3 linked regions of the Canis lupus familiaris genome follow. The protein of the gene in region 3 purifies or fractionates together with the protein of the main gene of each other region. This does not show direct contact. Links are inferred from orthologs where the notes say so. Each region holds a gene or a part of one and is shown on either strand. Other genes may lie near its edges. The genes, in order: TRIM25, PLAAT4 and MAVS.

Region 1 (3,745 bases), on a different chromosome or scaffold from region 3:
GGCCACTAAAGGCTGGGGCACTGATCAATGAGACTGGTTCTGTCCCAGTAGTGAACAGCAGCAGGGCTAGAAGGGGAGGCCGATCGAAGGACTTTGCAAGCCAGGACAATGGTGAGGCCTGGGGAGGTAGCAAGGCCAGGCCTGATACAAGGATTACAAAGCCAAGCACGTACGGATGCAGGCCCCAGAGGCTGAGAGAGAGCTGTAGCTCCAGGCCAGGCTGAGAAGAACCCTCCTGACCCTACTTGCCTTCTGACTTCATGGATAAGAACTTCTAGAAGAGCCTTTTGGCAGGAGCCGTCATGGGTCCTCAAGGATAGGCCCATGCACCCTGAGGCAAAGAAGAAATGGGCAGCCTGATACCTGCCCCCCCCCCCCAGCAAGTTCTCTTCCACCCCAGCTGCACAGAAAGTACACCTGCAGCACTTAGGCAGTACTCGCCCAGCGAGGAAGCAGTCAGAATTGAAACCCAGGCGTCAACACCAAGCCCAGGTCAGAGCCCAGGTCAACCAGCCACCTGCCTGTCATGGGGGCCTGCCTACAAAGCACTTTCCACACAGCTCCAGAGCCTCCTGACCGCCCTCGCAGATTGGGAGGGAAGGCTACTATCCCATTTTACAGATGAGGAAGCTGAGGCTCAGAAAATTGCCGTGACTTGCCCCAAACCATAGTTGATATGGGGCAGAATGCAGCTCCTGGCTTGAAAAGTGATACAGGTTCTTTAAGGCAGCCGGTGGAGACCCAGGTGGCCATGCCTGACCTGGTCATGCCTCAGAGGTCAACTCTCAGGCCATGTCTTGAGGTCTGGTCTTTGAGACTCAGGGAAGAAGTTCTGAGGGCCCCAGCTCAGACAGAGAAGCAGACCAGGCCCAGGAATGGCTATGGTTGCACAGGAACAAGACCTGGCTCCTGGTCCTGGCGCCTGCCCCTCCCTCCCCCCCCCACCCGCCCCAAACCTCTGCCAGGCCTCCTATCTCCTTCAACAACAGGACAGTCCTTGTTCTCCATGACAGGGCCGAGAGACTTAAAGGCAATCAGGCTATGCTGTGGAGCTCATGCTGATATAAAAAAGGTGGTCCGATTACACCTTGTCAGCCCCTGCCTTGAGTCCATAAGGGGAAATTATGATTTACCCCAAACCACTAAAACCATCACAGACCTGGAAGGCTCCTTTAGGAGCCACCTGGTCCCACCTCCTCAATTTACTGATGAGCACTCAGGCCCCGGGGACCAACAGTGTGCTCGTAAAGTCTCACAGCCAGGCTGGAGGGTACTGTGGTGCAAGAGTCTGGCGCTGCCTGTGGGGGTCTCCAGAGAGATCTGGCATTTGCCCACGGTTCTGCTCATCATGATCCTACCTGGTCACTAGAACTCTTGGGGATCCCTGGGTGGCACAGCGGTTTGGCACCTGCCTTTGGCCCAGGGCGTGATCCTGGACACCTGGGATCGAATCCCAGGTGGGGCTCCCAGTGCATGGAGCCTGCTTCTCCCTCTGCCTATGTCTCTGCCTCTTTCTCTGTGTGTGTGACTAAAAAAAAAAAAAAGAACTCTCTGCCTACCGAAGCTTTTTGGTTCACATGATCTCAAGCCTCCAGGAATGTCCCATGCTCCAGGAATGTCCCAAACTCGGGTATTGGGCTGGTCATGGGGAAAAGTGGCAAACTCTAGAGTCGAACCAGGGAGGGGTCCCAATGCCTGCTCCACCACTCACAGGGTTAGTTTAGGCTAAATGAACCTCTCTGGATCTTCCGTTTCCTCAACTGCAGGATGAACCCAATTAGATCCACCTCTTGGATGCTGCCAAGATCTCCCGAGGTAACCTCCAGGGCTCCTATTTGATATTGGAAACCCTCTACTAAACGCCGTCAGCCAAGGAGTAGGCTTAAGGCAAGCCACATCAGCTGTCTTCCGCGGTCCCCTCTGTGCAGCAGGGGCCCGCGGAGGGTGGACCACGGACGACGACGGAGGAGGCCTGTATGTTCTCCTTGCCCCGCCTGGGTGGTCAGGCCCAGCAAGGCCCATCCTCCCACCCCAGGTGGCCCGCGCTGGGCCTCGAGGCGATGCGTGCACGGTGGCTCCCTCGGCCCCGCCAGCCCCGCGGGCCCCAGGCGGCCTCCCTGTGCCCTCCCGCGCCCCCCCCCCGCAACCCCCCCGCCCCCCGCACCTCCAGGTCGGCGCTGGCCTGGCTCAGGGACGCAGGCGAGCAGGCCTTGTGCTCTATCAGGCAGATGTAGCAGATGCACTCGTCATGCTGGGGGCAGAAGAAGTCCCGCAGCCGGTTGTGCTCAGCGCACTTGCGGCGCAGCAGGTCCTTGACGGGCGGCTGCAGCTGGTGGTCCTGGAAGGCGGGGCTGTCGAGGTGCGGCTGCAGGTGCTCCTGGCAGAAGGAGGCCATGCACACCATGCACGTCTTGACGGCGGGCGCCTTCAGGCAGTGGTCGCAGGCCACCGGGCCGGTCTTGGCCGGGGCCGCGGGCGTCCCGCCGTCGGGGGGCTGGGGCGCCGCGCCCGCCTGCAGGAGCTGCTCCACCACGGCGCACAGCACCGTGTTCTTGTGCAGCTGCGGCCGCGCCTGGTAGACGGCGCGACACTGCGGGCACAGGTACGGCGGGCCCTGGACAGCCCACGTCTCGTCCAGGCACGCGCCGCAGAAGTTGTGGCCGCACGGGGTGGTGACCGGCCCCTTGAAGGGCTCCAGGCAGACGGAGCACGACAGCTCCTCGGCCAGGGGGACCAGCTCGGCCATGGCGCTCGGCGGCCGGACGGGACGCGCTGGGACGCGCGGGCTCGGGGCGACACTGGCGCCCCACCCCCCAGGCCGAGGAAACGAAACCAGCGAGCGGCAGGGCGGGCCCGCGGCGCTCCAGGAAGTCACGCGGGGCGGGGCGGGGCGGGGCGGGGCGGGGGTCCCGGGGCGCCTGGCGCGGCCGTCGGGCTCCGGGTCTGGGGCGCCCCCCCGCGGCGGTCTCTACCCGAGGCCGCCCCCGCCCCCCCCCGCCCCCAGCAGCCGAGCGGGCCTGCCCTGCACGCGAGGCGCCCCGGGGCGCAGCCTGAGCCGCCCTGCAGAGCTCCCCGAGCTGCGCTCCCGCTGGGGGCCCCGGGCCAGGCTGTCTCCGCACTGGGCTAGCGCCCGAGGCCGGGCAGGGAGGGTGCCCCTCTCCCTCCCGACTCTATGTATTTATTCATGAGACACACAGGCCGACGGAGAAGCAGGCTCCATGCAGGGAGCCCGACGTGGGGCTCGATCCCGGTCTCCAGGATCACGCCCCGGGCTGCAGGCGGCGCTGAACCGCTGCGCCACCCGGGCTGCCCATCCCTCCCTCTCTAACTCCCTGGGGCTCTTGGGTGGCTCAGGTCGTGATCCCCGGGGTCCTGGCATCGAGTGCCCCATCGGGCCTGGCAGGGAGCCTGCTTCTCTCTCTGCCTATGTCTCTGCCTCTGGGTCTCTCATGCATAAATCATAAAAATAAAAATATTTTTAAAAAGAAAAAAAAAAAAGGGCAGCCCCGGTGGCGCAGCGGTTTAGCGCCGCCTGCAGCTCAGGGCGTGATCCTGGAGACCCTGGATCGGGTCCTGCGTCGGGCTCCCTGCATGGAGCCTGCTTCTCCCTCTGCCTGTGTCTCTATGAATAAATAAATAAATAATCTTTAAAAAGAAAAGAAAAAAAAAACCTTTAATAAACAAATACATAAAATAGACTCGTTTCCTCCCCGCTGGTCGGTGGGACTGTGGCACAGCAGCTAAG
Region 2 (3,745 bases), on a different chromosome or scaffold from region 3:
AGAGCCTGGAGTGGGAGGGAACTCCTGGCCTCTGTGAGGTCCTCAGCCTTCTGTCACTTTTAGAGCTTCCCCAAACTGGGGGCTGAAGTCTGGATAAAAGGACCTTGTGGAATAGGAGAGTGGGGATTTGTTCAGTGTGCCCACATTATCATGTATGTATGTGCTTGTGTACATGTGGTATGGGCTGCAGTGCAGTAGCACACATGAATATATATGTACGTGTTGTGCATGTGTGTTCTATGTGTGTTGTGTTCTGATTACATGCATATCTGTGTGTGTTGCATATTGTGTGTGTGTGTGTCTGTGTGTGTGTGTGTGTGCGTGTTGTGGATACTCATAGGCACACCGAGGAGGATGTGAATGTGCACGTTCAGGTTCATTGCACGGCTGCTCCTGAGAGTGTTGACGTGACTCCCTGCATGAAAACCCCTTCACTGAGATTGGGAGCCCCGAACCCATCGTCAGCAGTCGGGCAGGGGAGTCACCACCTTCTCTCCTCTTCTCAGACTGACATTCAGGTCCTCATCCCACCTCTTGGCCCTGGTTGTCCATGGCCACACAGGCACCTGTTCCTCCCTGGACTCTGTCCCCGCCAGCCTCAAGACACCCACCCTCGGAGATGGCAACCTGAGAGGCAGGAGCTGACAGCATCCTAAGGAAACCTGAGACTCTGTGGGGCCAGCTAGCATCTGGACCCATGGGGACGGTCACAGCACGCACATGGAGGGCTTGTGCCCTCCCCCCCAGGCTGCCATGGCTTCTGCTTTGAGAATGTTTCAATTTCTTCCCTTTCTGAGCCAGCTCTCAGCCCACAACCCTCTATCTCTGATTGCAGGCCACCTCATGGGAGACCTGGGGCCTGTGTACCCCGGCCCTCTTCTTTGTGCCAATATCCATCCACCAATGTAGAATCCAGGAGTTTCTCCTTAATTCTCCTCCTCAAACATCTCTCACACTGTGATTCGTTTCAGGGCAGCCCCCAACCCTGTCTCTGAGACCCTCACCCTCTTTTTCCTGTGTTTTTTTTTTTTTTTTTTTTTTACTTTATTCTAGTAATCTCCATACCCAATGTGAGGCTTGAACTCATGACCCTGAGATCAAGGGTCACATGTTTTTCTGACTTAGCCAGCAAGGTGTCCTGACCCTAAGGCCTCTTGACCATAGGCCCCACTCCTATCCTGGCCTCCTGTCCCTTCTCCCCCACATCTGGTCTCCCCAGGACCCACCGTGGCTTTCCCACAGAGCACATCTGGCCTCAGGGCATGGGGCCTGCTCTGTGGGCCACTCACAGGCCCTCCTCACCCTCCCTGCCCTCTGCTCCACAGGCTGCCAGGCTTGCCCTTCTCACCACACAGCTGGCTCCTGCCTCTGCTCCCCTGCACACCTGGCTGTCTCTGCCCCCAGTCCCCTTCCCCACCCGCTCCCTTCCTCTTCTCATCCACACCAGAAAGTCCTCTCTGAGAAGCTGCCATCAGGCCCGCCTGGCTCAGCTGCCCTCTCTGGGTCCCCAGGTCCTGGGGCAGCCACCCCCTCTGCACAGATCATGTTGTGCCGGGACTTTCCCTGCCTGCCTGCACCTCTTCTGGGTTTGGAGCTCCAGTGGGGCGGGATCCTGTGTGGTGCCCCTTGCCTCCTTCCTCTCTGGGAACCAGTGAGGGCCTGGCCTAGAATGGGGGCCAAGGGAATCTCCATGGAAGAGAGGCTGGAGGACCAGCAGGGCTGGGACCCAGGGCCAGGGCCTCCCCTCTCTCAGCCAGGGCACGGCTGGTCCAAGGGTGGCCTCCACGCTGGAATCAAAAGGGGGTTTTGCACTCTGGATTCCACCTGTGATAAGGTCAAGCCCAGACACCACGCGCATAGGAGCTGCCAGCAGATCCAATGTGAACTTGGGCCGTGCCTGGATAAGGAGATGGTTGCCCAGGCAACAAAGGCCGCTCCTTCTGGAATGATCTCATTGCCCTGAATTGCCTGAATTCTACTTGTTCCCCTTCAGCTGTACGCCCGCCACCGAGCCCTGCCTAGGCCTGCCTGGGCTGTGTGGGAATCTGGACACCATAGAGGTCAGGAAGGGAGTCCGCGTCAGAAAGCTGAAATTCAAGCCGACTTCACAGGGCAGGCCAAGTGCCATGGAGCAAGAGGGAGAGGAGGACAGAGCTGAGCAGGCGCCGAAGTCCATCTGGAGCCAGGGAGCCAGGCCCAGCGGGGATCCACTCACCTCCCAAGTCCTGGGACCCCCCGCCCTTCACCCACGCCCCAGATGCTTCCCAGCTCAGGAGACAGAGCCCCCTGCCACCACAGCTCCTACCCCCGGAGGCCCTTGGGCCCCGGCTGAGCCAGATGGAGCGAGGAGGCTCCCTGGACCCAAAGCCCTCACAGCCCAGCAGGGGCTTTTAAAGAGGGACTTTTAAACTACAAAGAGTCTTCCAGAACCTCCTTCTGAAGCTTTTCCAAACTTTGGAGTTAACTGTGCCCAAGGCCAGGAACCCAGACTGAGGCCTTTATAGGAAGGGGCCCCCCCACCCCTGGAGAGCCCTAGGTAGAAAGTCAGGGACACTTACCTCAGTCATGGTGCTGTCTGCTGTGTGCTGCTTGTGCACCAACTTTTATTGAAGTTGAAAGTTTTGCTTTCACTTTCCTTTTCGATGCTATGTAAAGCTACTTTTCTTAGTAAAGTAAGCATTAGGCCCAGGGTGGAGCCCAGCACCAGGCTCAAACTCAGGATCCTGAGACCAAGACCTGATCTGAGGCCAACACTCAGATGCTTAACCAACTGAGCCACCCAGGCACCACAGAAACAGTTTTGTTTGTTTGTTTGTTTTTAAAGATTTTTTATTTATTTACTCATGAGAGACAGAGAGAGAGGCAGAGACACAGGCAGAGGGAGAAGCAGGCTCCATGCAGGGAGCCCGACGTGGGACCCGATTCCAGGACTCCAGGATCACGCCCTGGCCCAAAAGCAGGCACTAAACCGATGAGCCACCCAGGGATCCCGAGAAACAGTTTTTAAAGGGAGACTGAACAGTCACTCTAAATGGAAGGTCTGTGATTACCTACCTCAAAACATAGAATTGCTGTGGCTTGTGATTGAACCTGGGTCCCACCCGCTCGTTGCACGACAGGCCAATATGATGAGGGAGACAAAGAGTTGGGACAAGGAAAGCGATTTTATTCGAGAAAGCCCGCTCACTGAGAAGACGGTGGACTCATGTCCTAAAACACCACTGTCCCATCTCCCTGCAGGAAGGGCTTTTAAAGGGGAACAGGAATGAAAAAAGAAACCAGCTACAGTGCCACGAGGGCTAGAGTAATCCACCACATGTCTTCAGTGATCGAGCGTCAGGTTCTTCAAGTTTCCTGAGAGATTTTTTTTTAAAGATTTTATTTATTAATGAGAGACACACACACACACACACACAGACAGCCAGAGACGCCAAGGAGAGGGAGGAGCAGGCTCCATGCAGGGAGCCCGACATGGGACTCGATCCCGGATCTTTAGGATTACGCTCTGGACTGAAGGTGGCACTAAACCGCTGAGCCACTGGGGCTGCCCTCCTGAGAAATTTTAAGCAGAATTGATTACTAGCTTATCATGTGCTTATGGGGTGATGTGCAAGAATATGATCATTAGTTTGTTTGTGCAATGTGTTCTGCCTTAATTGAGGATTCCTATGAAACCTAAGGACAGGGCCACCTGGGTGGCTCAGTGGTTGAGTGCCTGCCTTTGGCTCAGGTCGTGATCCTTGGG
Region 3 (3,745 bases):
CTTTCCAGAACATGACCGCAAGCCCACCATTAAAGCTTGCCACATACATGTTCTTAGGATAGGAGGCTAGTTCCACTCACCGTATGATCTAGGGCAAATTACCGGCTTTCTACAGTCTTCTCTTTACCCCTAAAATGACTCAGAGGGCTTGTTTTGACAATACAGTAGCTCAACTGCATAAGCCTGACATTTACAAGTGCCTCAATTACTAGCAATTGCTACTACTTGCTTAGGTAGGACTTACCACAATTTGCAATTATAGATGGGGTTGTCTGTGAGTTCCTTACCTGCCTCCCCCTCAGGGAGAGCTGCAGGGAATAAGAGGGACAAGATCTCTGCCATCATCCAATTTATATTCTATTGGGGTGGGACAGATAACAAATCAGTAAACACGTACATAAATAAGAATTCCAAATAGTAACCAAGTTATGAAGAAAATAAACCAGGGTTTTGAGACAGAATCCCTGGAGAAGGACGTGCTGCATGAACAGAGGTGGTCAGGTAAGTCTTTCTGAATTGGTGACATTTGAGCTGAGCCATTCTGAGCTGCAAGATCAGCATTTTGGGCGGAGGGCACAGCAATTTAAAAGTCCTAAGGTGGAAATGACCTTGGCATGTTTGAAGAACAGAAAGCAGGTCTGGGTGGTCCAGGTTTAGAAAGCTAAGGGGAGGGGAAGGGATCAAGGTCAAGGAGGTTCTGAAAAGTGGTGGCTCATGTGCAGTGTTGCAGGAAAGGACTCTGGGGGTTGTTATTTTTGCTTTGGGGGGTTTCTTGGAGTGAAATGGGAAGCCACTGGGGGTTCTGAGCAGAGAAGGGAGAGGATCTGACTTATGTTAAAGACCTCTCTGGTAGTTGTGAGGACCTGGATTGTACAGAGGCCAGGATGGAAGCAGGGAGACAATTGGGAGGCTGAAGCAGGGGGCCACAGGATGGGTATGGCCAGAATGCTGCCCATGGAGATGGTGAGAGGTGGCTGGATTCCTAGTGGGTCCTGGATGTGGGAAGTGAGGGAGAGAGAAGAATCAAGGATAACTCCTCAGGCACTAGGTAGATGGATGGTGCCATTTAGGCAGGCCAGAGAACCTGGTGGAGAAGCTGTGGTGCAGAGAGGATTCCAAAGCTCCATTTTGATCAGGTGATCATAGTGTCTCAAGTCTGAGACACTATGACATGTCCAAGTGGGTTTTCTGGGAAGAAAGGGGTCAGAAGAGGAGCCAGACTGGAGCAAAAATGTGGGTGTGTGGCTTGGGTGGGACTCTAGAAGATAATGTTGCAGAGCAGAGCTGGGGCCACCAGTCTGTCACCCATATGGGAAATGGGGCAGTAGTCCTGTCTGCTGGCCTCATAGCCTCATGTGGCATGCCTTGCTCTGTCAGCCACCAGGTGCTACATTATTGGTGTGGCAAGTGTCAATGACAGAAGTCAAGAGGTTCAAGAAGATGGGGCAGGGGTCCTCTGAGCGTTCAGGAGATGAGCAAAGAACTCTAAGGTGGCTAAATGACGCTTTTCTCCTTTCTTTCCATGGCATGTGGGGAGGGACAAGGATAGAGTCAGGTGATACATTCTTCTGCATCTGAGCCGCAGCCCTAAGGACAAGAGTTTGGGGGGTATGGAAGTAGAACATGCTCCAACCAAAAAGGAAGGAAGCCCATATTTGTTCATATTTATTCATGATCTACTATAGGCAGGCACATTCTAATTTTCTTTCCTTTAGGAGAGGAGAAATGATGCTGGGTTGTACAAACAGACCAGTGGCCCTAACAGGATTTGAACCCAGGACTTGCTGTCTCATTGCAGTTCACCATACACCTTACAGAACATAGGGGCTGCTGCAACAAGTGAGACTCACAGCCCCAGAGGGACCAAGGCCACTGCCTGGGTGAGGGGAGTCCTCAGATGGGGGTGTGCCAGGGAGGCTGAAAGACGTAGTCCCTTCTCTTGTAGGAATAGTATGTAAATCATTCAGACAAGGCTGACTGCATGCTAACCTGCCCTGTTCGGCAGTCGCAGTTCTCAGATCGCTGACTGTCCTTCCAGAAGTTTTTAAGGCTCCACAGCGTGCACAGAACGTCGTTTTTTGGTTGTGTTTTTTTTTCCCCCAATGTTTTCCTAGCAGCTCCTTCCGGTCTCAGAGAAGGGCGGACTGACGCTGCGAGAAGTTCCTACCTTGAATGCCCCGGACGCGCTGAGTGCGTCCCGGAAAGAAATAACCACCCGGAGGAGAGAGGCGAGGCCTCACTGATTTGGCTCCAATTCCTGGAAGGAACCAGGCCCGCGGAGGGAGGGAGGGAGGCTGTTCTGGTCAGATGTCACCACCGAGAACTGTCAAGGCCCGGGGGAGGACGGCGGCCTCTAGGCGCGGCCGCAGCTCCGGGAGGTTAGGCCTCGCCCCAGGGTCACCCCCGGCCTGCGGGGCGCTGGAGGCACTCAGCAGCCAGCGCCTGTCTGCTCCCCCAACCTCCCCTCCCGCCCGAGCACACGACCCACGCCCCCCCGCCCCGCCCGGCGCTGCCGCGAAGCGCGGCGCCTCGGGACCGGCTCTAACCCAGCCCCGCGCAGCCAGTCCCGTCCCCGGACCCCCGTGCGCCCCGGTGGGCTCCGCGTCCCGCTCCGCTCTTGCCTCCGCTGACCACCGCTCCGAAAGCCATCGGCGCGCCCAGAGCCCAGGGGACCGACCGCGCCCGGGACGGCTAACTTACCTCGGTAGCCACTACCCGGCTACCCGCGGACCTCCGCAGACACCCCGGAACCCTCCCCTGCAGGAGGGGGCGCGGCAGAGAGGGGCGGGACCGCGAGGCCATTGGCCAGGCGGCGGGGGCGGGGCGTGGCGGCCAGCCTGAGCCACTGGGCCGCGGGGGTGGGCGCTTGGCAGTGGTTCGAGGGCCTGGACCCGCGGGACAGGCGCTCCGGGCAGACCTAGGCTCCTGCTGGGGCGCAGAGGATCAGATTATTTTGTTTGTCCAGAACAAACTTCCAGGGGAAATACAGAATCTGGCTAGAACTCAAGTGGCTGACCGACCTCGGAGTCAGTGCTCGGCTGGGTCCCCATGCTTCCTACGCCAAGCAATCACTCCTCCTGAGTAATTTGAGGGGGGAGGGTCTTTATGGCATTTGTACCGGGGCACCCAGGGCCTGGCATAAAGTTAGTGCCCAATAAATATCGAGTGATACGCAAAGTGCACAGGAAGCGACACCAATGCTGGGCCTGAGGAAGCAGGATCACAGTGCGAGGAGGCTGGGTAGGTGAGAGCAGGGCAGGGGCGCCAAGTTCGGGCTGCCCAGACTGCTGGCTGTGGGTCTTGAGTGCTGTGTGGGAAAGGCTTCTCTGCCCAAGGGTCTGGACCAGGTACCTCCCCACAGCGCCTGCCAGCTGCCTGGCCCTTCCTCTGTTTGGGGCTGAGGCCAGCAATTACTGAGCCTCCCACTGTGTTCCAGGTACAGGCTTAAAGTCTTATACCTTAGAAGCCACTAAATACTCAGACAATCACCAGGTAGAGGTTTATTTTTCCTGGTTTTAAGAAATATTAAAAGATTCAGGGGTGTCTGGGTGGCTCAGTCAGTTGAGGGTCTGCCTTTGGCTGGGGTCATGATCTCAGGGTCCTAGGGTCAAACCCGCATCTGGCTCCCTCCTCATCAGAGAGCTTGCTTCTCTCTCTCACTCTGCTGCTCCCCCTGCTTGTGCTCTCTCTCTGTCAAATAAATGAATAGAATCTTAAAAAATAAATAAATAAAAGATTCAGAAAA

What was found.
Region 1: the proteins of MAVS (region 3) and TRIM25 purify together in Homo sapiens (affinity purification with western blotting; 3 studies listed by BioGRID and IntAct, with this or other methods). This does not show direct contact. The link is inferred for Canis lupus familiaris from reciprocal best matches to the Homo sapiens genes MAVS and TRIM25.
Region 2: the proteins of MAVS (region 3) and PLAAT4 purify together in Homo sapiens (affinity purification with western blotting; 4 studies listed by BioGRID). This does not show direct contact. The link is inferred for Canis lupus familiaris from reciprocal best matches to the Homo sapiens genes MAVS and PLAAT4.

What each region holds. Positions count from the first base shown.
Region 1 is NC_049230.1:31,683,312-31,687,056, forward strand, and holds the start of TRIM25 (E3 ubiquitin/ISG15 ligase TRIM25), read right to left. Parts: upstream 2,821-3,745; 5' UTR 2,747-2,820; coding exon 2,165-2,746; intron 1-2,164.
Region 2 is NC_049239.1:53,930,968-53,934,712, forward strand, and holds the start of PLAAT4 (phospholipase A and acyltransferase 4), read right to left. Parts: upstream 2,678-3,745; 5' UTR 2,568-2,677; coding exon 2,559-2,567; intron 1-2,558. UniProt on the Homo sapiens protein: Exhibits both phospholipase A1/2 and acyltransferase activities. Shows phospholipase A1 (PLA1) and A2 (PLA2), catalyzing the calcium-independent release of fatty acids from the sn-1 or sn-2 position of glycerophospholipids.
Region 3 is NC_049245.1:17,973,678-17,977,422, forward strand, and holds the start of MAVS (mitochondrial antiviral-signaling protein), read right to left. Parts: upstream 2,720-3,745; 5' UTR 2,701-2,719; intron 1-2,700.